4 linked regions of the Astyanax mexicanus genome follow. The protein of the gene in region 1 interacts with the protein of each later gene in a biochemical or structural test. Links are inferred from orthologs where the notes say so. Each region holds a gene or a part of one and is shown in the gene's direction. Other genes may lie near its edges.

Region 1 (7,049 bases):
TTCTCTTCTGCTCCTGTTCTGTTCTTCTGCTTTGGCAGCGTTTAGTTACATGTGCATCTTCAAAAAACGAGCAGCATCAGGAAAAACTTGCCATCAGACCCGCTCTCCCCCGCGCCCTTTGCGGGGGGTTTGAGGTTCAGAAGAGATAAATGCAGAGTTACAGCGGTTGCTGAATGGATGGATTATATGAATTATCTGTGTATGTGTGCGTTTCGGTGCCATTCAGTGTTTTCTATGACCCTCTCTCTCTCTCTCTCCCCCCTCTCTCTCTCTCGCTCCCTCTCCTTATCCAGTCCCAACGTGCTCTCTCTCTCACAGCCCAAGGTTTTCACACCGCATCTGCACTGAACGCATCCCCACAGTCTAAAAATGCCCCGCTTTCACAGCGACTCCTATATTTCCACTCGTATTCGCCCCTACTTCAAAAATACAATTTCCAGAAACGATCAAAACGAAAGAAAACTGAGCAGGCGACTGAACGTGGCTATTGTTCTCCTCATTTGTCTCTATTGTGTCAGATCTGCTCAGGCTGTTTTTTTCTCACGTCGTGTTAGATTTAATTTCGCGTAACGTTACAAATTCGTCTTTGGGGTCTTGATGACACATAAGACGCCATCGTCCTCCATTTCTGCCTTAAAAATGAAATAAATAAATAGTAAATAAAATATGGAGGTTAAAAAAAACACACACGCCCCTCCCACTTTCGCGTCGTCACAGACAAGCGAGAGCATTATGGGATGTGTAGTTCTGTGAGACGAGCTGGGGGAGAGTCACAGAACAGGACTTAACCAGGATCACATTTAACCCGGATCGGGACTGGTAGACGCATGGTATCATTCTGAACACCGTTCACTCATCCACGGGGCGTCGTCACTTATAAGACACAAATAAAAGTGCCTGAGTGTGACTGATTCACACCTATGATGTCATGACGTTTTTCTTGAGGTGACATCACAGGTGTGAGTTTACTACTTAAGGTGTAATGTTCATTACTCATATCTCACGTTTTATAAGTGTTCATTATTTTCTCTTTTAGATTAATGTACAGTGGTTTTAGCTTGATTTATTTACCACTAATGATCTAATACATTTTTTTGACACAACTATTTGCTAATGCAGAGTGCCAAAGTCATTGTGTTAGCTTGTGTGGTTTTATGATAAAAAAACAGTAATCATTAATTTTACCCAACATTTTTTCTTCTGTTCTAAACAGCTGCCCTGTATTGTACATTATAATGAAGGCAATGCAGGCTAAAATGTTTTAACTTAAATGTAAACAGACAGACTGATGTACATTTAAATATACTTTAAAGTAAATGGTTAGACTTAAATGGCAAAGTCAGTCATTTCAGACGCATGTATAAGCTAGTGAGTAAACAAGTACATTTGAAAAATAAATACTAGCATATCTGTGAGTAAAACACTATAACAGAGAGCACTTCTGGCCTAGCTGACCATTTCCTTTCATGATTAGTTGAGGTGGTGAAATGTTACATTATTGGTTAACACTAGGATTTACACTTTTAAATAAGGTGACACATGCATAAGCAGTCACAATTGACGTAAACCACAGTTGACATTAATGTTATTTACTTGTCTTTTTCCATTATAAGAAGTTGTTTGAGATCTCAAAATGTTGATATTATCATAGCTTTCCTGAGATAATATAATAATTATCCTGCAATTTTAAGAAAAAGAAAAAAAATTACACTCATGAAATAACTCTCTTTTACATTAGCTAGCTAGCTTGCTAGCTGCACTGGCCTCTGCATTTCAGTGCTAATGGATTATAAGCTTTTATTATTTTGCACTTGCATTAGCCTTGGGTCATTTCTAAAACTAAAGAAGCAATCTTTAGTCATTCATTTGTAGTCACATTTAAAGGCTTTTCATAAAAGACAGAAGGCAGGCTTTGTGACTAAATTAGCACAGGAAATTACAGCATATTTTTGCTGCTGTTTTGTGGTTGTTTGCCCTACAGATCAGTAATTAGTCTTAAGATTATAGTTGACATCTTTCAGTTTGACATGAACTGAAATGAGAACAGATTCTCATTTATCTTAGATAACATGAGCTGTAAGCTATTTATGTCAAAATATAGTTGTGTGACTATATATAAATGATTATAGAATGTGTGACTATATACTTTTATAGGTCATAATAAACTATATACATTTATTATTCCAAGTAAGTACAGGTTTTGAGTAAGCTTGTATATGAATTACAACTGAGGTAATGCTAGGCTAACATATAAATATAAATAGGCTTAAACAGAGAAAATTTGGAGCACCAGGTAAAACTCTATGAATAAGTGATTTTGTAATTGTGAATATGTCATATACCTATTTACAGATATGCACAGTTCGGCATATTTTAATACACAATTGCTTAAAGGTACCATATTTGTTGATTCATATTTAAGTCAAGGATTACAATTTGCATATCAGTAACACATTTATTTTTTTGTGTACTTTAAGCTATTCATGAGAGGGTTCAGACTATCAGGGGTGCAGATTTGACAGTTTACTTAGGCAGTTGCTTTCATACAAAAATTTGTACATAAAATCAAACAAACAAGAATGACCATATGTTTTTGGAACATTTAATGGTTGAATGGTACTAAATTGTAACAGTGACAACAAAGTTGATTCAATATCATGGCATAATAAGTCAACATTTAAGATCAATTTCATGCCATATTGCTGTGTGCTATTTTGACCCCAGTTGATTTTTCTAGGTGCACTTTATCATTAGATATTATCAGGCACCCAAGTTTTCTGCTGTTTCAATCCTACTGATCCTTCTGACCAGTCCTACTGATTTATTGTTTTCTTTATTCCATAATCTGAAGCAGATTAGTCTGTTTTTATGTATAAAAGGTTAATAGAAGTTTATTGTTATAAAATAATTATAAGTTTGGTACGTTTGATAACTGATTAAGGGACAGATCGTCATTGTGCTAAGAAGAGCTTGACTCTAGTCATTTCTAAAAACTCGGATATGAACAAAATGTGGCATGTTCACATGTGTGGATGATTATGGACAAAACTGATTTTTGCTTTAATAAAATGCAGGAGACACTTCAGCACTCAGTTCAAGTTAACAGTATAGTGCTGTTTCTCTTCTAGTTTACTTAAACTAAAGCCTTTTTATTTAATTCAGTACAGCTTCTGCTGATTTCCTTTCTTTTGTCCACCCTTATCATTATTATTTAAAACATCTGTTTTATATATATTTTTTAAAGCTCAAATACAATGTACCCATTTGTTTGATTGTTTTTTTATTTAGTAATAACTCACTATATCAGGTCATCTAATGGTCAGTAATAAAAAAAACATACATTCATACATTAACATGAATACATCAGAGATACATGTTGTGACTGAATAAAAAAACAATGTTGTGTGTAGTTGTGTGATTGTATTCAGTATAAGTGCAGTTGTTGTGTATTTGTGCTCAGTTTTTTTGTAATTGTGTGAGTGTGATAATCAGTGTATTTGTGTAAATGTGAATATTCTCAGTGCTGGTGTATTTGTGTGTGATTTTACTTAGAGGTGGTTGTGCTCAGTGTTGGGGTGGTTGTGTTTGTGCGTAGGGTTGGTGTTGTTATGTATTTGTGTTCAGTGTTAATGTAGTTGTGTATATGTGTTCAGTTGTGTATTTATGGTCATTGTTAGTGTAATTGTGTTTGTGCTCAGTGTTAGTGTAGTTATGTGAGTGTGGTTGTGAACAGTGTTAGTGTAGTTATGTATATGTGTTCAGTGTTAGTGTAGCTGCATGAGTGTTGTTGACGTGAGTGTTAGTGTAGTTGTGTATTTGTGGTCAGTTTTAGTGTAATTATGTATTTCTGTCAGTGTTGGTGTTGTTGTGTATTTATAGTCAGTGTTAGTGTAGTTATCTCAGTTTGATTGTGCTCAATGTAAGTGTAGTTGTCTGACTGTGCTAAGTATTAGTGGAGTTGTGCTCAGTGTTGGTTTAGTTGTGTACTTATGGTCAGTGTTAGTGTAGTTGTCTCAGTTGGTTTGTGCACAGTGTTAATGTAGTTGTCACGGACTGTTCTCAGAAATATTGTAGCTGTCTGAGTGTGCTGGTGCTCAGTGTTGGTGTAGTTGTGTAAGAGTGACTGAGCTCCAGTGTTGCTGTAGTTTAGCTCAGTGCTGCTTCTCCCGGCCTGAATGCTGTATTCACATCCATCTCTCTGAGCTTCACCTTTCACCATCAACCCCACACACACAGTCATACAGGACACGGACTCCGGCGCACGGCCACACAAAACATGATTAAACTATTTTCTTTAAAACAGCAGAAAAAAGATGAAGAGTCTGCTGGAGGAAACAGAACCGGAGCCGGGGGTAAAAAAGCAAGCGCGGCCCAGCTGCGGATACAGAAAGGTAGGCTAGCTGGCTAACGCCGGGGCTACAGCTTCATTAAAGTCAGTAACACAGACCCGAAACACCGAACACGGACAGCAGAACTGAAATCACCAGCCGCGCTTTTGGTGTGAATCAGTCCGGTGTCTTATCTCTACAAAACAAAAACAAATTTTAGATAAAAACACAACGGCGTATCTCCAAGAAGCACAAGCGGCGAAGCTAGCTAACCTAGCCAGCTCACTAACTAGGAAAACAGCGCTAGCATCACTGAACTAAACACACTCCGTTTTAGCATTCAGGTGTTTTAATCGCCGGCTTTGGTCTTTTATAAGTCTTGAACATTTCGACGAGTTTGAGACGACATTGTCTTAGAGAAAACGAAATGATATTTAACTAAACAGGCTAAAAAAATCCAGTATCTAACTATCTAGCTCATTTCCTGATGGAAGCATTTAACTGTAGCTAGCAAAGGTTAGCTAGTTAGCTAAGCTAACCCAGAGGAGCAGATTAGCTTTGGCGAATTCTGTTAAATATAGCCCGCTAGCTAGCTTTATGTAGCTATATATTATTCCATATATATTAGTTGTTATTAGGTGTCAGTCGCATGGTAACATTAAGTGTTAATTAGACACTAATTTTCGCCATACTTCATGGAATTATGGCCTTTAATTCGACCAAACTATCAACTAACGTCAAGTTAGCCGTTAGTTAGCTTAGCTAACGTTAGCTATCCTAACTAGCTTAGCTTAGCAGGCTACAAAAGTTTACAGTCTGTTTTTATTTATGTGAAGAACAGGAATAATGTTATTGGAGCATATCTAACACTTACAATTATCATTATTTTATTTTACATGGGTTAATAGCATCAGTGTCACTGTCCATAGTCTAAAACGTGGCAACCCGTTCCCCAAAAATAATCACTTCATTAACTACAATGCATAATTAACACAATCATGGGTTGTATTTTTGTATGGTCCCCTTTGTTTGTGAGGAAAACAAGGACAAGCTGTTTCAGAAATATAGCTAAAGAGAAATCCTTAGAAGTGTAGTTTTTACTACATAATAGGTTCTGTGTAGGAAGAGATAAACAGTGGCTTTGGCTTTGTTTAGGGAACTAGTTTCTTTGGAGCATGTAAGTTAATATCCAGCTATAGCTAGCTGCCTCCTCTGACTCTGACACAGTTGAGCCAGGAACTGATAAACTGTTCAGTTTATCATTAGATCTGACTGGACAAGTGATAGACTAAAGCTGTAAGATAAAATGTGTTCTGCCTATGGTAATCTCTCACAGTTTTTATGGATTTTCTTTATTGGACCTTCTCTTATGCTTTATGTCATGTCCTGCTACTGACATGCAAGTAAAGATCTTACTATGATTAGATAAATCAGACGTCATGACACTTCATTGTAATTTAGTTTTCAATTTGCTGATTAAACTTAGTGAACTGACCTGTTCTATTAAACCAGACTGCATCAGTTTTGTGTAGTCTCTAACAAAGTTTTTTTTTTCTTATTATAAAAAGTACTATATTTTCTGAGGGATTTAATAGTGCACTTTTATAAGCAGAATATGAAAGTCATTAGTAACTTCATGTTGTGTTAGAGAGAGCAGAATCAGTACTGGTTACCTGGGTTTAGTGTGGCAGGGTGTGTAAAATGTTGAATTAGTGCCTACCCCAGAACGGCAGGAAGTACAGCTACCGACTATTTTGGTTGCAAACTAATCTGTTGATAATTTTTCAGATTAGTCAATTAGTCAATGATTGTTTCTGATTGTTTCTACCAATACCTTTATCTTGGGTTTCTGTGGCTATGGCTCCTGTTCCTAGCTTTTGCTATCACCTCAAAACGATAGAAACAACTGGAGTGAGTGAGCGAGCGAGCAATCCCCCATTGTGTTTCTGTCCCAGCAGTTTGTGTAGTGCATTGCAGTTAACGATTAGTTAACACTAAAATTTTCAAATCAAAATGAAAGCTAATGTTGACTATTCGTTGCAATAATACAGTTTGGAACACTAGGGGTGTGCCATATCGTGTGGTGTGCAATAATATCAGCAACATTTTCGAATAGCATGAACAATATTATATCCTGAAATTGCGTGCCAGATCACCCACTCCTAATTATGACATCAGGGTACTACTTTTTTGCTGTTTTTAGCAATTTCTCATTAAATATTTACTAGAGACAGATTATGTCTGTTTAGTATCATTCATTTTGCTTTAGTCTTGGATATTTGCATTATTAGTATCATTAACTTCTGTTACACATCTGATAAAATACTTCTATTTTTTTTTTAAGTTGGTGGTGTGCCATATCATATCGTATGCAATATTACAATTTTCATTTTGTTGCTATAGTGTATTCTTAAAATATTTTTTTTATTCAATGTTTTGTTATACTGCCAAGACTATCGTTATCACAAACATTGTGCTTGCAATAAAACTATTTATTTTTATGTCAGGTGGTATGTTTGCGTGTAAGTGTATACAGCTACTTCACGATAATGTGCTGAGAGACAGTGCTAAGGAAAGATACAAATTAGCTAGATGTTATCCCTTAAAAAGGCCAGCTTATGGAGTTTTGACATGACGATCACCTGTCAGCTGTCTTTCACATCACCACCTCAAAACTTAAACTAGATTTCACTGCACTTGCTTAATGCCAAAACAGGCTAG
Region 2 (7,014 bases), on another chromosome or scaffold:
TCTTTGATAATAAAAAACACACACAATTTTATTAAAGCCAGGCTCACTTAAAGTCTTCTTCTTTTACCTAAAGTAGGGTCTTCACTTTTTAAATTAGCATGTGTTCTATAAACCATGCATTTTGTGTGCCCTTCCCCACCTGCTGTTTCAGTCCCATTGTGTATTTCAGTGTTTGAACAATGGTGGGAAAACTGTGGCAGCTGTGTATTTTGTATACATTTGTGGAAGGAGATAAAATTCAGATTCCAGACCTATGTATTACACACTATTCCCAATGTAGTGTACTATGCAAGTAACAAAATTACAGATTTTAAACTTTCCATTTTGGAGAGTTTTTTTTAAAGCTTTGTTGACAGGAGAAAAAGAAACTGTAAGCCTTGTCCGAACATATCCAGATTTTGTTTTAGCCAGTGAGCTTTTAGTAGTTAGTTTTATAATTCATTCACAGTTGTAACACTGACACTGCAGATATTACAAAGTTTTCTTTTTACACATTAACATAGTTTCACACTGCTGATATCTACACCATGTTCGAACATTTCAATGGAGAGAATTTTCAGAATCCATATAATAATGAGTTGTTACTAGATTAAGCTGATCATAGATATGCATTATGGTCTTGTTTAGACATTATGGGACAGTATAGGGTATTTTTTTATTTGGTTCACCAATGATGCGCAACTTTTTCTGTTCTCAAAATCCCATTCATGGTCACGGTCCGGCACAAGCAGAATATCCTTCCCAGTATTTAAACTTGCAGCTCATCATCATCATGCAAATTGTAAGCAGAAACAACATGGTGCAACTAATAGATTTATAATGTCCATCAACATACAGAAAGAAAAGTAAGAAACTGCACAATAACTAAAATATATAGCATGTTTATAAATTAATTTAAGTAATTTTTAGACTGCAGTAGAAATGTAATATACCTGTAATAATTATTTTTTAACACTATATATTAATTTGTCTTTGGCCTGATTTCTTACTGGTTCGGATTTATATTTACAACCCTGATATCTAAAACAATTCCACACACATCTAAATTGTTTTTGACCAATAGGGGCATCTAGTGGACACCGGAGGCCTCAACTTAAATTGGGTAGATCAATTGTTGTTTGACATGTTTTAATTGTTTTAATTAAATTTAAGCCAATTTAGGCCAATTGGCTTACATATCAGCAAAATAAAATACTTAGCTAAACAAAGCAACACAGCAACTGCACCAGAGTAAACACAGAATAACAGAAAGTAGACCTATATGTAGAGCATTACATATACAGCAGCAAATGAACAACTTAGTAAAAATAACTACTTTTAGAGATGTCCAATACTTGTTCTGTCAAGATTTTGCCTTGCAGATTTTGGCTCCAGTTTAATCTAACACACTTGATCCATGTGTAAACCTAAAAAAGGTGATCTGAACTGTCCAAAGTGGTACAGGTTAATGCTACCTTTTAAATTAAATAAATTAACTAGATATGATATTTTAGATGTACTGGAAAGGTTACATCAAAGCACACTAACCCTCTGCTTTAGGATTGGTACAATAAGCAGTGCAGAGTTCAGAGGTTCACAAAGTCAGCTCTAGTAACCGTACATGCTGCACATTTTTGCACGCTTCCTCATAAAACAGATGCCATTCAAATATGTAGTTAATTAAGAAGCTCCTCCTAGGCTGGGGCTTTCCTATGGTGCTCAAAATATTTACAGCAGGCTTAAAGAACAACAGACTTTCTATGGACTACCACCCAAACCAAATTGACCAAATTGTAGTAGAATTGTAGTAGGGTTGTAACAATACCAATTTTTTTATATCAATAGCAGTGCATACAAAAATCATTCTACAATATAATATAGCATATGGCAAAAATAAAAATTAAGCTTAGAAAAATGATTGACTTTTTACAGCTTATATAGCAATTTTTTATTCAAAATGTCCAATAATGATGAAATCTTGATTATTTTGGTGTTAGAGCATGTAAATGAAAAAACTGTACATTAAGGGTCTCTAAAATAGAAAAATAAATGGACGCACAATGAAATTGATGCAAGTTAAAGAATGGGAGTGAATTTTTTTGTGCCATCTTTCGGTACTTTGGTATTTTCTGTATCAAATTCGGTATTTTGTACAAAGACTCAATAAAGCTACCATGCCAACCAAAACTCTGAGGAACATCTACAGGTGCATCATTGAAAGCATCACTGATTTGGATCCAAGCCCCCCCCCCCCCCCCCCCCCCCCCACTTCAGGAGGGTCCACAAGATTATCAAGGATAACACTCATCCTCAACAAAACCTCTTCACAGTCCTCCCATTTGGCAGGCTATACAGGAGTGTGAAATCAAGGACGACCAGATTATGGAACAGGTTTAGGAACAGGCATCTGACCAGTAATGCAGTTCATGCTCTTTCATCTCTCCCATGAGATGATCACTAGAACATTACACACAGTGCTCTGCTCTTTTGCATAATACACTAGTCAATTCTATGCGTCACCTCTTTCATAGACCTACATTATTATTTATACTGCAAAATACTTATAAATATATAAATGCTCAAGTCTCTTTTAGCAGCTATTTAGTATTGCACAGTATTATCTTTTGCATTCATATTGACACTTTTTTATTGTCATTATTTAATCATACTGCAAATATATTGTGTACTTTGTCCCGTTTGTACATGTATATAATGCATATATTTTACTGTCATTGTTTGTCGGCCTACTTGTGGTCCAGGGGAAAGGGCAGAGTAAGAATTTCATTGTACAGTGAAACTACCTGTTTTTCTGTGCATATGAGAATAAACTTTTGAATCTTAAACGTTCAGGGCACTAGGGCTGTGTTTCGAAATTCGATACCAAAAAGCCCATTTGAAACCAGCAACCAATAAAAGCTAGACTCGAGCTGGATTTTGTTTTTAGCAGGGATGTAATTTTGCATGGCTGACCAATAAAAAAAATCCAGGATAAGAGTGTGAAGGTAGTCTGCAGTCATGTTTGGGTAATTAATGTCTTACTACAGGTTAAACAGTAAGGAAGGAGTTCTGAATGACAACATGCTGAACGAAACTGAAATAATCCACCAAGTGGTGCTGGGTATATTTATATACATAGGCAGTATTGTCAGCTAACTGCATGGTGGTACTGGGAGCAGAGCTGTAGCTCTAGACTCGAAGCTGAACATTGATAAAACATCTGATGGAAGCTACATCTTCATGCGTGGCAAGTCCAGCCCTGTGGAGTCCCCTCCCACTGTATGTGTGAGGAATATGGTCACAGTTTGAGGAATAAACAGCCAGCTTTCTTCATTATCTGTCTATCTAAAGCCAGGAGGTCTTGGGGAGGGGTTCAGTCGACGGAGAAGGTGCTTGTGTGAACAGCGAAATTCCAAGAACACAATACGAGACGATGGTAAACAAAGGAAATGAATATTTATGTGTGCGATGGACACCTCAGGAGCAGCCGTGATAAAGAGAGAGAGAGAGCGTTAGGACAGCGCTGCGGTGTTTTAAAGAGCGGCCTTTAGTCAGTGTTGGGTTTACTTTAAGCGCAGTTTAGATTTTAAGACGAATCCTGTAGGGAGTAACTCGCTGTGTGGTAACTTTCTACAAAAATATCTGTGAGGAAATGGACTCTCACGCCCTACAGTAAACAAAACTGGGCGCCTCGACCAATCAGCGCGTGAGATCAGCCGAATCAGCGATGATTGACGTGAGTTTAGACCACTGTCAGCAGAGGTGGGGGCGGCACCCGGGCGCACAGTATCCAATGAGCTGTCAGCGTGGGGCGGTTTTCTTCTTTGCACGAGGAAACGGTCGTAATTGATTCGCTCGTAGAAGACCTACAGCCAGTGGGCTGCTTTGAGGGGCGGGGCTTTAGTGGAGCTTCAGCGTATCACACCGCGTCCTGTGAGGGCTTCACCTCTTTGTGTGTGCCTTCAGAGATTGGCACCTGTCGTGGCCAATCGGTGTCGATTGTGGGCGTGGCCTGCAAATCCATCGTCCACCTAAATCATCGGTGGGCATGGGGAACAGTGACATATCCCGCCCACTGGCCGGTCTGCTGCAGCTTCACACAAATACAGTTGAGCGTTTCATAAAAATGCACTCAGATGCGACAAGTAAGTACAATAGTGTCTTAATAGCGCGCTTTTCTCCGGCTACGGTTCCGACACGGGGCGCCCGCTGCGAACTTGTTGCACGACGGAGCGTTTCGCCTTGTTTGTGGCGTTTGACGCATTTTAGCGGTGTTAAACTAGCCGAAACCCGAGCGATAACAGTCTGTACAAATCAGGGGAGAGACAGTATTAACATAGCTATGGATAATCTAAAGCTCACCGGGCTCTTTGTATTTCTCTGTCTCTGCTGCTGTGGTTGTGTTGGGGTCTGGCAGCGACGGCGGATAGCTCTCTCTCCTCTGATAGCTTCAGATAGCCATAACCCTGTATATTAGCTGAGCCTCGCGGTGCTCTTCCTTTATTATTATTATTCTCTCTCTCTAAAAGTGTTTACTCCCTGAGACACAGAGACCAAGAGCTGTAGATAGATAGACAGCTAGGTTATCTAGTGCAGGACTGTAGTTGGTTAGGTTATCTATCTGAGCCTGTTTAGCCAGACAATGCACTTGTAAGTCTAATTAGCCTTAATACCTCGGGGATCTGCGAGCTCCGCTTGGCCTCAGCTCGCTCTTTCGCTCGGTCTGGGCGAGCAGGCTGCAGGGGGATTGTGTAACCCCGCGGTATTAGCGTTAAATAGGTCAGTTTTCCGAGAAAACTGCGGAAAATTACAGGGGGTGAAAATTGTGACGCAGTTGTGTAAAAATTTCGCAGCGCCCGCGCGCGTCTTCTGCAAGAGCGCGAGCACGGTGCCCTAAAGCCCCTCGCGGAGTGACCGAGCCCCCCGACCCGGACTTTTTTCATTAGAAATCAGGACGTTTTTTGTGGCATTTGGATTGCATTCATCAGTTGGGGTGAGTGTCAGGAGAAGGGGTGCCGAATAAAATTATTTCACTCGGGAATTCTGGGAAGTGTAGTTCGCTCTGCCGGTTCACTGCGTTCGAGGAAGAGAGTTGGGATACGTCATGGGGACTACATCTCCCAGAAGCCCGTTCGCGCTGAGATACTTTGTAAACTCGTTGCAAGTTGTGTGCGCGCTGTTATGCTCGGTATGTGGTCACTTCGGTGGCATTCGGGCCGAGTGTTGGCCAGGTTTAGTCCGTGCAGTGCGTGCGGTGCTCCGGTACGGTGTGGGTGCGTGACAATGGGTACAAATATATATAAACACACGCGCGGAGCAGAGGTTTTATTATGTGTGTGTGTGTGTGTGTGTGTGTGTGTGTGTATGTGTGTTAGCTATCAGCCTTTTTCTTCAGACTGCGTCACAGGGTCGCAGACTAACTGTGTTTTTACACACACACATTTACAGAAACGCTGAGCACACACACAGCATAATTATGTAGTTGTTTAGTTGTTGTCATATGTGTCTATGGTATCTTGTCTCTCCCCAAATCTGAACCCCTGTACTGTGTAATACAAACACTGGGCCACAAGGATCCTATCCTCTCATATGCAGTACCACATTAGTCCCGATTTTAGTGTGTGTATGACTGTGTCTGTGAGTGTATGTGTGTTAGACGGGCCGCCATCATTGTCTTAGTGTTTCCCTGCCTCAAACTAAACCTGACATGGACACTGCTTCCCAAAGCAGGAGCACACATACACTTACCCACATCATTAAGTCAAATGTCAAGGCTGTCCAGTAGGAGATATAAAGGACCTTTCTGCCGGACAGTCTACACTCTTGTTTTTATTTTTTTAGGTTATATATTGAGAAACCTTGCTTTAAGTAGCACCTACAGTTCTAGAAAAAAAAAAACTTCAGTTTCTGAATCAGTTCTTCTGAATTTTGCAATTTATAGGTAAATGTTTGAGTAGAATGAACATTGTTGTTTTATTCTATAAACTACTGACAACATTTCTCTCAAAATGAGAATGAGAAATGGCTGAAATCACAAAAAAGATGCAGAGCTTTCAGACTTCAAATCATGCAAGAGAACAAGTTCATATTCAGAAAGGTTTAAGAGTTCAGAAATCAATATTTGGTGAAATAACCCTGGTTTTAATTACAGTTTTCATGCATCTTGGCATGTTCTCCTCCACCAGTCTTACACACTGCTTTTGGATAACTTTATGGCACTTTTGGTGCAAAAATTCAAGCAGTTCAGCTTGGGTTGATGGCTTGTGATCATCCATCTTCCTCTTGATTATATTCCAGAGGTTTTAAGTTAGGTAAAATCAAAGAAACTCAAACATTTTTGGTGGTCCCTTATTTTTTCCAGAGGTGTATATGTTTTTTTTCTGTACACAGAAAGTAACCAAGGTCCTGGCCTGCAGTGGTGCCTGAAAGTTTGTAAACTTTCTCTGTTTCTATATTTCTACATAAATATGACCTAAAACCTCATCAGATTTTCCTAAATTTCCTAAATTCCTAAAAGTAGATAAAAAGAATGATAATGTTGAACAACCTAGACAAGAATGAGGACAATTTTTCAATATTACATATTTGTGAGTGGAAAAAGTATGGGATGGGAATCAGGTGCGTGTTGCCACCCAGTTTTATTTGAAGAACAAGGATCTGTCAATGTCTTCTCTTCACAACATGTTTGTGGAAGTGTATCTTGGCACAGGCAAAGGAGATTTCTGAAAACAACTGTACATTTGTTAATGTATTAAAAGTTGCAATTAAATTAAATTCTGTGTAGTCCAGAACTAGAGCTTTAATCCCTGTCAGTGAACCTGTCGTTGCAAGTGCATTATGGTCATCTTAGTAAGGAAGTAAGAATATGTGTGTTCTAGAAAGATCGCTTTAGAAAGCCAAAGGATTCATCTTCATCACTATGTTTTTGCACAACTAGTCCAGATAACAATTGTTGAAATTAGCAATGGCCCAGTGTGAAGCACCAGGGCTCTAAAGGTTGTCCTTTCGACCCTCCTTTCAATTGCTTTTTCTGTTACT
Region 3 (6,865 bases), on another chromosome or scaffold:
TATAAACACCCCGCAGACCCGAATCAGCAACATAAATGCTGAAATTCCCTGTATTTAATACATTAATTACAGTTTATCTGATTACAGTACCTCTCCTGTACTCCTGACCCCCGCTGCTGCTGCTGCTTCTGCAACAGACTGCGCACAACACCGGCGTTTGGGCCGTCAATACTGCGCACACTTTACTTTCTGCGCAGAGTTTAGTGCGTTCTGTTTTATGGATAGAGAAAGTAAAATTCCATCCCATGGTTTTGTTTCAACGGCCTGGGCGGATTTGCTGAAGCTGAGCCGCCCTGGCAGTTGGTACAAAACCCTGCGATGGATTTTTACTTTCTGGACCTGGATGACTCACCTCTATTTATGGAGGACGAAAAATTACATAAGTATAAACAAATAAAAGCACATATAAAAGAATAATATATATATATATATATGTATATAAATAAATAATGACATACGCGCATAACTAATTGTATAGATAAATAAATCAATTATTAAATATATATTTATTGTATTTATTTATTCGTCCTTCATACTGTTTGTGCAGATCTGTAATAATAATAAAGTACAGAGCCTTTATTAGAGTTTTATATATAGAGGAGATAAATGAGGGTCTAAAAGTAAACCTCTCATAAAAATAAAAAAATCAACATTATTAATATTTTGTTTAAATAATAAAAAAAAACCCCACACAATTATATTTTCAGTTTTGTAGTTTTTCATGTTTTTATATATATTTAATATCTTATAATTTATACTTGTTGTTAATTGTGTATTTATTGTATTTGAGATTTTTTACTTATTTTCTATATTTAATATTGGACCTATTTTCACACATCACAATATTATTATACTAGAGCATCTCAAAAAAATGTATTGAAATCATGTGGATCAAAACCAGCAGATGACATTTCCTCTGCTGACAACTTTTTTGGAAATGGGGATTTCATTTTCCAGCAGGACTTGACACACTGCACACACTGCCCATTAGTACCAATTAGTCTTATATAATATTCTAATTTCCGGAGACACTGATTTTTCAACAATGAAAGAAATAAACTCGTAAAATAGATCACTCTGTGTCTATATAATATATGAGTTTCACATTTTAAACCGGATTACTGAAATAAAGAGATACACTAGTATAGGTGTGTTTCAGTCCTGGGGCCTCATGTACTAAAGGTGCGTACGCACAAAAATATTGCGTACGCCATATTTCACGCTCACGGTCAGATGTACTAAATTTAACTTGAACGTGAGAAAGTGCGTTCCCCCACGGAACTTTTGTTTCGGGCGTACGCCTTTTTTTTGTGCGTATGTATTGTGTTTTTGTCATTTGGCGACACTTAGAGGCGATGCATTGAAATTACAACTATTAAGATATCCTTTATGCACACATTGTAGTCAGCATTACTGGGTAAAATAAAGTTAATTAATCAGACAATTTCATTGGCTTACATAAATAATCGTTTAAAGTGTTTCCACTTAGCCTAGATTCTATAAAAATGCATAAAAGTTTGCGCTGGAGTTGTTGGAGTTGGCAACGTTGGCATTATTGGAAAATATTGCTAATGGCCAAATTCATTGAGAGCGCATTTTCCACGACCATTATGTTTTTTTGGCCCATGATGATGACTGACTTATAAGCCGTTTTAGATTTTCAAGAGCATAGGAGGATAAGAAAACAAGCTGAATGCGTGACGTGTGGCTTCTTGGTAAGCAACTCATTTAAGATAGATAGATAGATAGATACTTTATTGATCCCGAAGGAAATTTAGCAAATTTAAATTTAAAGCATTTAAATGAAATCATTTATTATCCCTCTTAGAATAATACAATTTAAAACATGGGTAATTAAACGTGTATATCATATTAATAATAATATAATAATAATTTTTATTATAATTTTTTTTTTATTATTATTATTATTCTAACTTTATACTATGCGTAATTGAGGGAGGAGTCATGGCAGGTGTGATGTGTTCGTGCATTTGCGCTTGATTTCAAGTTGATTGTGATGTACTAAGAGAAAGTACGTGGGATTCTGTCTACGCACGGTTTGATAAATCCAAATTTTTTTGTGCGTACGGAAGAGTACTAACTAATACTCCTGGGTTACATCATTCACAATACTAACTAATACTCCTGGATCAGGGTTAGAAAGCTACATTATTGCACTATATCAAGGTCAGCCTCCTTTGTCTTTTATTCCTATTTATTTCCTGATGAGAAGTTTCACTGGTGTCTCAGTGTCTGTGGTGTCAAAGCTTCTGATTTTACAAAAAGTTTCAGATATAAGAGGCGTGGATCTGTTTTTCTCTGTAAAGCTGCTTTATGACAACCTTTGTTGTAAAAAGCGCTATAGAAATAAATTGAATTGAATAACGGGTTCTTACATGAAATTCCAACACAGATGGAAGCAGCTGCGCTTCTCTTCGTCTCCCCTCACTGTGCCCCGCCCCTCTCCCATATGCCCCGCCCTCCACAGACACAACGCCGATAGATAGATAGATAGATAGATAGATAGATAGATAGATAGATAGATAGATAGATAGATAGATAGATAGATAGATAGATAGATAGATAGATAGATATTTATGCCGAGAGAAGTTTAGGAAAGAACAAGCAAGGGACTGGAGATAGGGGGCACCCAATTTACTGACTATCTATAGCCAATCAAAAGCAAGGTTTAAATTCGAAATAGTATCTTCAATATCTCAACATTTTAAGCTCCATGGACCAGTGACAGAATAAAAAAACATATCACATTTCAAAAAAAAAAAAAAATAAAATTAAAATAAAATACATTTATTTGCAGAATCCCAGGCAGATCCAATCCAGATATTGGGGTTGATCCAGTCCCAGCTATAAAGTAGATCCATTCCATGTTTTGAAGCAGATCCAGTCCTTATTTTGAAGCAGATCAAGTCCAGGTACTAAAGCAGATTCAGTCCTAGTTTTGAAGCAGACCCATTTCTTGTATTGTGGCTTCCCCAGTCCTGATATTAAAGCAGATCTGGCCCTGGTATTGAAGCAGCTCCAGCCTTGATATTGAAGCAGATCCAGTCCGTGTATTGTGGCTAATCCAGTCCATGTTTTGAAGCAGGTCAAGTTTTGGTTTTGAAGATAAGATAAGATAAGATACTTTTATTGTCATTGCACAGTGTACAACGAAATTTAGCAGCAATCCTTATGGTGCCTGAACAAAAATAAAAGAAAACAAAATAATAACAGCTCTATGTACAAATACACAAATTTACACACATTTACAGTGGATGTATGAAAATATAGGCAATATAGTAACAATTTACCCAATAATAAATACAGAAAGTGCACAGTGCGTTGTAAGTCCAGCTATTAAGGTTTGTACGTTTAATTTTTTAGTTCCTTGGTAGTGGTCTGAGAGTGTGCGTGCATTTTGCAGTGTTCAGTTCTCGTACAGTACTATGGTAAAAACTGTTTTTCAGTCTTCAGAAGCAAATCCAGTCCAGGTTTGTGGCTAATCCAGTTCAGGTTTGTAGGAAGATCTGGTCCTGGTATTGAAGCAGAGCAAGTCCATATTTTGAAGCAGATTCATTCCTTGTATTGTGGCTAATCCAGTCCATGATTTGAAGCAGACACAGTCATGTTTTTTAAGCAGATCCGGTAATTGAAGTAGATCCAGTCCATGTTTTGAAGCTGATCAAGTCCTGGTATTAAAGCAGATCCAGTATTGGGTTTGAAGCAGATCGAGTCCAGATTTTGAAGCAGGTCAAGTTTTGGTTTTGAAAGAAATCCAGTCCAGGTTTTGTGACTGATCCAGTCCATATTTTGAAGCAGAACCAGTCCATGTTTTAAAGCATACCCCTTCCTTGTATTGAGGCTAATCCAGTCCGCGGTGTTAAACCAGACGCAGTCCGTGTTTTTAAGCAGATTCAGTCCGGGTTTTGCGGCGGATCCGCTCAGGCTGTACAGGACGTGACGGAGGGAAAATTCCCATAATGTTCAGTGATTGAGTAAAGATCAGCAGAAGAGGAACACAAAGAGAAAAACACTCTCACACACGCACAAACCCCGTATCTCCCTCACCCAGCACCGCACTCACACCGGGACCCCCCGGAGCCGCGCTGCGGGCTGCCGGCCGGGCCCTCGCCCCTCGCTGGAGCTGTAGAGCCGGGCTGAGAGCAGGAGCGCACGGGGGCTGGAGCTGCTGGATGTGGAAGTGTCGGACCCGCGGCGGCGGCGACCTGCCCCGATCCCCCCGCTTACTGCCCAGGTGAGTCTCTGAACCCGCCCCCTGACTCCACTACACCCCACACACCTGAACTCCGCTCACCTGAACTCAGCTACACCCCGAACACCTGAGATCCACACTCCTCAACTCCTCCGCGCTCCGAGAAACAGGGCGAAGCAGCGTTTAGCACCCCAGCTAATTAGCCCGATGCTAAAGCTAACGGAAAAGTGAACGGGATTTGCGCTGAATTGGGCCAGCAGCGGGCACACTGAGCTAGCTTAGTTAGCCTGTTAGCTTAGTAAAGCTAAATAAGACTTTGTCAGCTCTGTCAGCGCCGCAGAAAAGTATAAACGATCTAATAAACTAAATAAACAGAAGAGTAAAGTAGATGAAAGCCTGATTTTGTAGGTAAAGTCCTGTTTATTTAGTTTACTTTAGTTTAAATACAGTAACAACACAGCTTAGCCTGGTTAGCTTATGTAGGCTGTAGTAGAGTTATGGAGCTAGCTTTAGCTTTAGCTACTTCTGCTAAATCCCTGTACCAACTACAGTAAAAGTCATTTGATCATTTAACAACATTTATATATAAGCATCATAAACCACAAACCCCATAAAATATATAATATATATATAAAGTTCACTGTAGCTGTTTAAGTAAGTCTAGTATGTAAGTTAATTTACCTCCGTTAAACCCATAAAGCTATATATATATATATATATATATATATATATATATATATATATATATATATATATATATATATATATTAGTAGTGTCAGTGGATTAAAACATTTAATCAGAATAATCACAACAATATTCTGTGATAAACTGCGATTAATCACAATTTTCATTCTTAAGACAGGGTTTTATAGTGGCCATTTAAATGTAATTTAAAGAATGAATGTAAGAAAAGTAAAATGTGAATATATTAATATTAATTAATCTAAATAATAGTTTCTACTTGTATGTTTGAGGGGAGATAAAGCCGTAACGTGAGGCGCTGGAATAAAGAATGAATGATAAATAGGATATAGGAAACATTTTTTTTACTTTGTTGTGAACATCTCAGCTTGGTTGTAAGGATTTCTGAATTAGAACTTGGTATAAAAGAGCGTTTTTACACCTGTAGTTATGAAAGTTTCTAAAATCCGGATCAGTTGATAAGTTTATTTATTTGGCACCAAAATGCGCATCAATAAACTACACAAACACATCAGAGTCTCCTCTGATTGTCAGAGCTGTCTGGAGCAGGAGTACGAAAGTAAATATAGTGAGAAGATTCTGTGTTCCACTGTGTATATCTGTATATCTGTGCAGTGTAAAGCCGCTTTAATATAGAACGCTGAGAATTTGCAGCTGCGCTTTTAAACACAGTGTTTTCAATGGGACATGCAGCACAGATATGAGCAGTGAATGCATGTAAACAGCATGGAGCAGCAGAGACAGCGTTCATTCATAGCAGTATATTATCTGGCTAATATATCAGAATAAACTGCTGTGTGTGTGTTTGTGTGTGTTTGTGTGTGTGTGTGTGTGTGTGTGTGTGTGTGTGTGTTCAATTGAAGGTGCTGGTCAGTGCTCAGGTACAGACATATACCAATATAAAGTATAGAATTTAATTTAAATTCATGTCATATCAGACAAGACATTGTTTGACACTAATAGAAACCATATATCATTGCTGTCATGTCAAAACCTTGTATCTACAAAAATACATTTTTACAGGATTAGAGAGAATAAGACTGTCCCTAACACTGAGACTGAAGTTCTTGGGGAATAGAATAGAAGAATAGAAATTCTTCAAAATTTCATAAAATAAACACTCTTTATATCGACTAAAGGAAGCTTTTAAAAAGGTTTTATCTCTCTTCTGTAAAGTAGCCGTTTTAGAAATACATGTTTTTCATTGGGCAGCGATGATACGTTAAAATGTTTTATTTAGGAAGGAAAATAAACCTTTGAATAGAATAAAGGACAGAGTCCAAAATTAATGAGTTTATATTAAAGTTAGTTTATACGGAAATATGCACTTGTTTTATACTGAATACTGAAATATGTACTTATGTCCTCAACACAGAACTATGTGAAATGTTTTAGTACTGCAGACATAATTTTTATAATTTTGAACTCCAGTTATAAGCATTTTTAACATGCTCTAACTGTATCTCCAGGATCAGCTCACCAACCAAATCAATCATAGAAAAACTATCAACGACTGGGCTAAAACTGGGCTAAAATCATGGCATTGAATGCAACAGCAGTTCCATTCAGAGTAAAAAAGAGTAAACTTTACATTACATGAACACTGCTGGTTAGGGATGCACCGAGGTGGGAGTTCTGGGCCGATATCAGTTATTACACACACATACAGCTCTGGGAAAAAAACTAAGAACCCATTTAAAAATGAGTTTCTTAAATTTTACCAAATTGAAAACCTCTGGAAGATGGATGATCACAAACCATCAAACCACCAAACTGAACTGCTTGAATTTTTGCACCAGGAGTAAAGCAGCATAAAGTTATCCAAAAGCAGTGTGTAAGACTGGTGGAGGAGAACATGATGCCAAGATGCATGAATTAAAATTTGTGATTAAAAACCAGGGTTATTCCACCAAATATTGATTTCTGAACTCTTAAAACTTTATGAATAG
Region 4 (6,947 bases), on another chromosome or scaffold:
CAAACAAGCGCTGTATGTTAATTTACACAGATTTCTCTACAGAAACTGTTTGTTTGGGTAAGTAAACCACTTCCATTTATTTAAAGTAAGCTTAGATTTCTAAAACATTGGTTGTTTTATCACGGTAAATGCACAGGCTACAGTCCGATAATACTTACCTCTAAATGGCGAAAGAGCTAGCACGTAGTGCGGTTAGTGGCTAATGCTAATGCTGCTCCAGCAGTACTGGACGGGTTTAGCAATACTTACCTCTGAACGGCAAAAAAGCTAGTGATTAGAACGGTTAGTGGGTAATGCTAATGCTGCTCCAGCAGTGCTAGCTGGGGTTAGCAGCAGGCCGATAATACTCACCTCTGACCGACAAAAAGGTTAGAGCTTAGTGCGGTTAGCGGCTAATGCTAATACTGCTGGAGACCTAAAGTGAAACTCCTGTATAACTCTGTACTTCAGCAGAGTGATTTTACTGCTTCTTAATACCTGACTGGTAGAATTCATACATAAGGAGCATCGGATTATAAGGCGCACTGCTGTTTTTTGGGAAAATTAAATGATTTTAAGTGTGCCTAATTTTATAATGCCGTCTCTAACTTTATCCCACAGCTTGAGAAGATGCAGAAGGAGGCCCAGCTGCTGAAGGAACTGGAGGAACTAGAGTTAGGGCTGTAGCAGACATTTACCTTTTCATTACATATCAATCCTATCACAACATCACAGATCCGTGTGTGAACGGGAACCAGAAGCTGAACCAGATCAGATCACAAACTGGTTTCAGTACAACCCCATCAAATCTGCAAACATAAAACCCACCTTAAAGAAGAAATCCGACGTGCTGCGATTCATTCTGTCTCTTTAAACGTGAGGCTGGAACCTACATCATGGCCTGGACCTCTAAAGGCATTATTGCTATGCAATGTTCTGTACAGTTTATGAGGCAGGTTATGCTGTTCTACACATGGAGTTTAACCAGTGGAGGTGAAGAAGCTTCACTGCAGTGCCCACGTCACCATCTGGACTCATATGTAGATTAAAAGAGCATGCCGTTTAGTTTCGATAAAATGAGGAAAAAGAAAAGTTTTTGCTTTGGGTTGTTTTTTTTGTTCGTCATGCTGCCAAAATGCTAAGTGATTAAATTTCCATCAGAAAGAGAAATAAATAATGGTTGCTTACAAACTACTTACATACTTTGTGTCCCCTCTGTTTCTTCACTGTACCATATTCATACTCATAAACCTCTTTAAATATCTGAAAGGCAAAGGCAAGCTTGTTTGAATAGCACATTTTATACATAATATCTTTTAAAAATATTTTAAAAATAAAATACAATAAAATTAGATTTGTCAAGTGACTAAGTACAAAAACTTCATTACCTTACTATTGTAGAAATGTAGGTTATCTATACTGGAGTAATTATTTTTACCCTTACAATTATCTGAAATTTCTACTCCTTACATTTTAATAAAACAGCCTCGTTACTCCTATTTAATTTCAGCTGGTTTTCATTCCGGCTTCTCATCGTTCAATAAAACCCCTATCCAGATAAATCTCTCCATCCAGATAGAGTGAATCTGATTGTGATTGGATGTAGAGAAGTATAAACATATACTATTCCGACTCCCTATTGGTTCATCATGTGATGCATCACACCTGCACACGCCCCCACCACCCACCCCCACACTCCAGCAAGAACATAGCAGACATATGTAGAGTAGTATGAAGATGATCCGTGCAGAGACTCAAGAGAACTCCAGACAAACTCCAGACCAACTAAGTTTCTTTAATATATTTACATTGTCTTTAATATATTTACATGTGAAATGCATTCATTATCAATGGGCATATATGCAGCTGAAACAAGGAGCCTAGTGCATCCCAAATTTATCAACATTAACATTTTAATAGAACTTTTTTAGTCATTATGGCTTTTATAAAAATGTATTTTTGGGGAGGGGGGGGTAGTGCACTATAGAACCCAAGTGCTGTTAAAGTGTGGCTTCAAGGTCCTTTTGTTTCACAGCTAACAAAGCAAGCCGCTCTCAGGGGTTGTGCACAATATGACTGCCTAAATCCCTATTCGGACGGGATTAGTTTCTCAGGGGGGCGTCTGTGAAAAATATTTCACACTTCTACTCAGTGATAAAACTCTTGAATTCGGACTGCAATTAAAAAAACAGGAAGAGCAGTGAGTTTTTAGGCTTTCTCGATCACGTGACCACACATTCAGTAGCTCCTCCATTTCCACTCGCTGTTGTGTTTTTAACGCAGATCTCTTACAGTGCGCAACAGTGGACAAAAAGCTATTTTATTAAACGAGACGTGACTAAATTAAGAGATGTCCGTCTGGACGGGCCTAAAATTACCGGAGGACCATGGAGTTCAGCGAAAAACAGTAGATAATTCAGCCTGTAATTTTCTCAGAGGGCGTCTGAGAAAAACACATACATGGTCATTCTGGATGGGAATAAAATCACAGAGGAGAAAATTATCCCAGAACCCTCTGAGAAACTAATCCCTTCAGCTTTTAGTATGAGAATTACTGTAAGTGTCTTTTACTTAGAATTCTACCATGTCTCACTGCAAGAGACTCCAAAATATCACAATAATTCCTTCCAAGATAAAAATAAAAATAAACCAATTTACCCTCCATTTTCTTACTTATCCTTTGATTAAAGGAGCTTTGATGTGATATTCAGTTTCTTTATGGGCATACATTTACAGACAATCAAGCTTTATTATTCTTTATTATTCTCTGGCTCTGACTTTTTTTATCTTATTCCCATACATATAGTATCTCGTTCCCATGCCTTAATAAGTCGTGGCCACTCATTATTTTTTTAACATGTCACCTTATGGGAAAATAAAAGATGTCACCTGCAGAGCCCATACGGTGACATGTTAAAAAAAAATAACATGTCACCTTATGGGCTCTGCAGATGACAACTTTTATTTTCTGGGATACCGATTTTTTTAAATTGTCTGTAAGCCATAATCATCAACAATAAAATAAATAAAATCTTAAAATAGATCACTCTGTGTGTAATACACATATATAATATATATATATTCAGCTCTGGAAAAAAAAATAAGAGACCGCTTACAAACGTTGAGTTTGAATGTTGAGATGGATGATCACAAGAAATCAAACCAAGGAGTGGTATAAAGTTATCCAAAAGCACTGTGTAAGACTGGTGGAGGAGAATATGATGCCAAGATGCATGAAAACTGTGATTAAAAAACAGGGATATTCCACAAAAGTTTATGAATATGAACTTGTTTTCTTTGCATTATTTGAGGTCTGAAAGCTCTGCATCTTTTTTGTTATTTCTGCAAATAAATGCTCTAAATGGCAATATTTTTATTTGGAGTTGGAGGAGAAATGTTGTCCGTAGTTTAACAATAATATTCATTTTACTCAAATATATACTTATAAATAGTAAAATCAGTCTTATTTTATTCCAGAGCTGTAACTGAATATTACTGTAAATAAAAAAAGAAATAAGAGAGGACTTGATGATGAGTTTCTTGGATTTCACCAAATTTAAAACCTCTGGAATACATTCAAGAGAAAGATGGATGATCACAAGCCATCAAACCAAGATGAACTGCTGGATTTTTTCCCCAAAAGCAGTGTGTAAGACTGGTGGAGGAGAACATAATGCCAAGATGCATGAAAACTGTGATTTAAAAAAAAAAAAATCAGGGTTATTCCACTAAATATTGATTGCTAAACTCTTAAAACTTTATGAATATGAATGCTCTAAATGACAATATTTTTATTTGGAATTTGGGAGAAATGTTGTCTGTAGTTTATAGAATAAAACAACAATGTTCATTTTGCTCAAACATAAACCTATAAATAGCAAAATCAGAGAAACTGATTCAGAAACTGAAGTAGTCTTTTATGTTACAGTGTTAGAGACCGGGGGTGGGACTTTTATTATGTAGTGCGGGACCCGGTTGTATAATAGGATAGCTGTGTCGGGGAGCTGGAGACCGGGGCAGGAGCGGAGGAGCTGCGCTGTGTTTTCTGGTGGATTGGGAGAATATCTGGACTCTGAGCGGCTCGGGTTCGGTCAGTATTCCCGGTTAAAGCCGGTATATCGGTGATTTAAGCGGCGGATCAGCGCTGGGAGCGGGGTGTTCGGGTTTAGCGCAGATAGTTACCCGGGTAGCTGCGCTGCTTTAGCCGTTAGCTCTTATTCAGTAGCCGGTAAACAGTAGCAGCAGCAGCATTAGCTCCCGGAGAATAACCACAGATTTATTACACAAATACCAGCTTTTAATAAATACTCCACTCACTAAACTAACCTCTAAAGCCTGTTCTATATTTATTTAATGTCCACAGCTTTATAAAATCTTAATAAATCAGTTTAAAATCAGGTGAAATTACAAATACCAGCGTTTATGTAATACTACACTCAATAAACTAATCTGTAACGCTTGTGCTGCTTTTACATAATGTCCACAGCTTCATAAATCCTTAATGAATCAGTTTAAAATCAGATTAGTATTTTTGATACACAAAAATACCAGCTGTTAATTAATACTACACTCAATAAACTAATCTGTAACGCTTGTGCTGCTTTTACATAATGTCCACAGCTTCATAAATCCTTAATGAATCAGTTTAAAATCAGATTAGTATTTTTGATACACAAAAATACCAGCTGTTAATTAATACTACACTCAATAAACTAACCTGTAACGCTTGTGTTACATTTATATAATGTTCACAGCTTTATAAAACATTTTATAAATCAGTTTTAAAGCAGATTAAATACGATATGATATATGGCACACTCCTAACATGAAATTCTAAAATACAAGAATTTGATCAGATTTGTAACAGAAGTCAATGATTCAAAATGTCATGGAGTCATAAATAAATCAACCTTTTTAAAATAGTTAAACTTTTAACACCTTGCTCAAGTTCCTTTTTAACTTGTATTTGTATTTATTTAACTCCCTAAATTGTTACACCATCACTGAAAAAGTTCAGTTTTAATAATTTAGAAGAAGAATAGTCAGTTGATATGACTATTTATTATTGAATTATTATTCAGGGGGGTTAGCTTGTGATTTTTGTTTCTAATACAGGATAAAACATCCCTCCTTATCTCCTGCCATTGTATTTGTTTTTCTATTGCATGGGAACTTTAATCTTACATTGCAGTTCTCAGTGCATTACCAACACTTTACGGTCACAATTTACAGTACAGAGGATGGTAACTTGCTCTTATTGCCTACAGAACATTGGCTAGGCAAATAACATGCACCCGTCATGCAAAAAATTAGTTTAATTGAGCAGAGTTAAATTAAATCTTTGTGCAGTTGGGCAGTATACATTTTTTAACTGTGTCTGACCTGTGTGTGTGTGTGTGTGTGTGAACCTGATGTAAAAGTACAAAATCTTCTTTATAAAGTAATAAAGGAAAATAAAAATGAGGATTTGTTCTAAAGAAACCCTTAAATGAATTACAATAGAAAATGAATAGAGGTCATTTTTGACCCAAATGTGCATTAGAGGTGTAGTGATAAAAAAGGTTATATGATGATCAAAAACAAGTTAACTGAGAAATACCTTAAATTCTGAATGGCTAAATTATGTTGCAAAACTGCAAAAGGGGGTATTGATACAAAAAGGGCTTTTATTTAAAAAAGTAAGAAAGGAAAGAATTAAATAACTATCTACTTACTGATAGTTTAATTCTACAGCGAATACTTGTCGCAATCAAAGCTAAAGGCAGTCCAACCAAATATTAATATTGGTTTTAACTATCGGCCATATTGGCTGATGAAGATGATTAAAAAAAAAAAAAAAAAAAAAAGCTATTCTTGGCAGATACCGATATAATTCTGATGTCATCATTCATGCATAATTTATATGTTGACAACAATTCTTAATTCATTTTATTGGCCGTATCATAAGCTATATGGAATGTCTGGTTTAAGATTTAGGCACACACTTTATTTTAGTATAGAATATAGATGGTAAAAAGCAGAAAAGCTGGAAATAATATATCCTTGAGCCAAACAAACAAAATGTATCACACTGTGAACAAAACTAACAAGAAGAGTCACCCAGATGCCTACTGCTGTTGATTGTGCCTCTTGTTTAACCTTTTCATATAAAGACAAATAGAGTTGAAGGGTATATCTAAGTTTTATACAGTTTTAAAACATTATTTTCCGTATAGCTCTTATATTGAAGTTGTTGCAGTTTTTTTTTTTGTATTCTGGATAAACCTGGAAATTAAACCAGAGAGACAGTATATTAGAGATAAATGAGATGAGGATGAATAAGGAATAAGTGTGGCGTGCTTGTTATTCTGCTCTCTGCATCATCATCATTACTCACCTGGCGTCTGGTAAATAACCCTCAATCTCAGGGTTATTGTGTAATCTCAGCGTGACCTTGTGGTTTCAGACGAGAGGCAGTCTGGAGCACATGCTGTTCATACTAATCAAGATCCACAGATATGAATAATAAACAGAATCTCAGAGCACTGTTTCCTAAAGCTGTTGCTAGAGGAACACCTTTCTGCACATGTTTGTAATGAGCCTGTTTTAACCCAAGTTATTTTAGATTTGCTATATCAGATTAGATATTTCAAATGTAAAAATAATAAGTGCAGCATGTCTCCAGGACCTGGATAAAAAAAAAATAATAAAGACTATGAAGTGCACTTAAAATCCTTTATTTTCCCAAAAAATCGTCAATTTACTTTATAAAACAGTGTGCCTTATGTATGAATTCTGCCAGTCAGGTATTAAAGAAGCAGTAAAGCCACTCTGCTGAAGTACAGAGTTATAAGGGTTTTCAGAAGTTTCTCCAGCACTAAGGCTGGGTGCAGCACCATTAGCATTAGCCGCTAACCTCAGCACTAGCTGTTTCGCCATTCAGAGGCGAGTGTATTGGAACTGTAATCTGCATGTTTACCATGTTAAAG

Evidence for each region.
Region 2: the proteins of ube2m (region 1) and dcun1d4 form a complex in vitro, tested with the Homo sapiens proteins (3 studies listed by BioGRID). The link is inferred for Astyanax mexicanus from reciprocal best matches to the Homo sapiens genes UBE2M and DCUN1D4.
Region 3: the proteins of ube2m (region 1) and dcun1d3 form a complex in vitro, tested with the Homo sapiens proteins (4 studies listed by BioGRID and IntAct). The link is inferred for Astyanax mexicanus from reciprocal best matches to the Homo sapiens genes UBE2M and DCUN1D3.
Region 4: the proteins of ube2m (region 1) and dcun1d5 form a complex in vitro, tested with the Homo sapiens proteins (3 studies listed by BioGRID). The link is inferred for Astyanax mexicanus from reciprocal best matches to the Homo sapiens genes UBE2M and DCUN1D5.

What each region holds. Positions count from the first base shown.
Region 1 is NC_064410.1:32,283,261-32,290,309, forward strand, and holds the start of ube2m (NEDD8-conjugating enzyme Ubc12), read left to right. Parts: upstream 1-4,041; 5' UTR 4,042-4,276; coding exon 4,277-4,391; intron 4,392-7,049.
Region 2 is NC_064408.1:65,186,015-65,193,028, reverse strand, and holds the start of dcun1d4 (DCN1-like protein 4), read left to right. Parts: upstream 1-4,009; 5' UTR 4,010-4,024; coding exon 4,025-4,121; intron 4,122-7,014. UniProt on the Homo sapiens protein: Contributes to the neddylation of all cullins by transferring NEDD8 from N-terminally acetylated NEDD8-conjugating E2s enzyme to different cullin C-terminal domain-RBX complexes which are necessary for the activation of cullin-RING E3 ubiquitin ligases (CRLs).
Region 3 is NC_064413.1:56,191,860-56,198,724, reverse strand, and holds the start of dcun1d3 (DCN1-like protein 3), read left to right. Parts: upstream 1-3,853; 5' UTR 3,854-4,255; intron 4,256-6,865. UniProt on the Homo sapiens protein: Contributes to the neddylation of all cullins by transferring NEDD8 from N-terminally acetylated NEDD8-conjugating E2s enzyme to different cullin C-terminal domain-RBX complexes and may play a role in the cell cycle progression by regulating the SCF ubiquitin E3 ligase complex, after UV damage.
Region 4 is NC_064416.1:4,963,200-4,970,146, forward strand, and holds the start of dcun1d5 (DCN1-like protein 5), read left to right. Parts: upstream 1-3,938; 5' UTR 3,939-4,069; intron 4,070-6,947. Other genes in the region: eif2a (eukaryotic translation initiation factor 2A), read left to right, coding at 601-666. UniProt on the Homo sapiens protein: Contributes to the neddylation of all cullins by transferring NEDD8 from N-terminally acetylated NEDD8-conjugating E2s enzyme to different cullin C-terminal domain-RBX complexes which is necessary for the activation of cullin-RING E3 ubiquitin ligases (CRLs).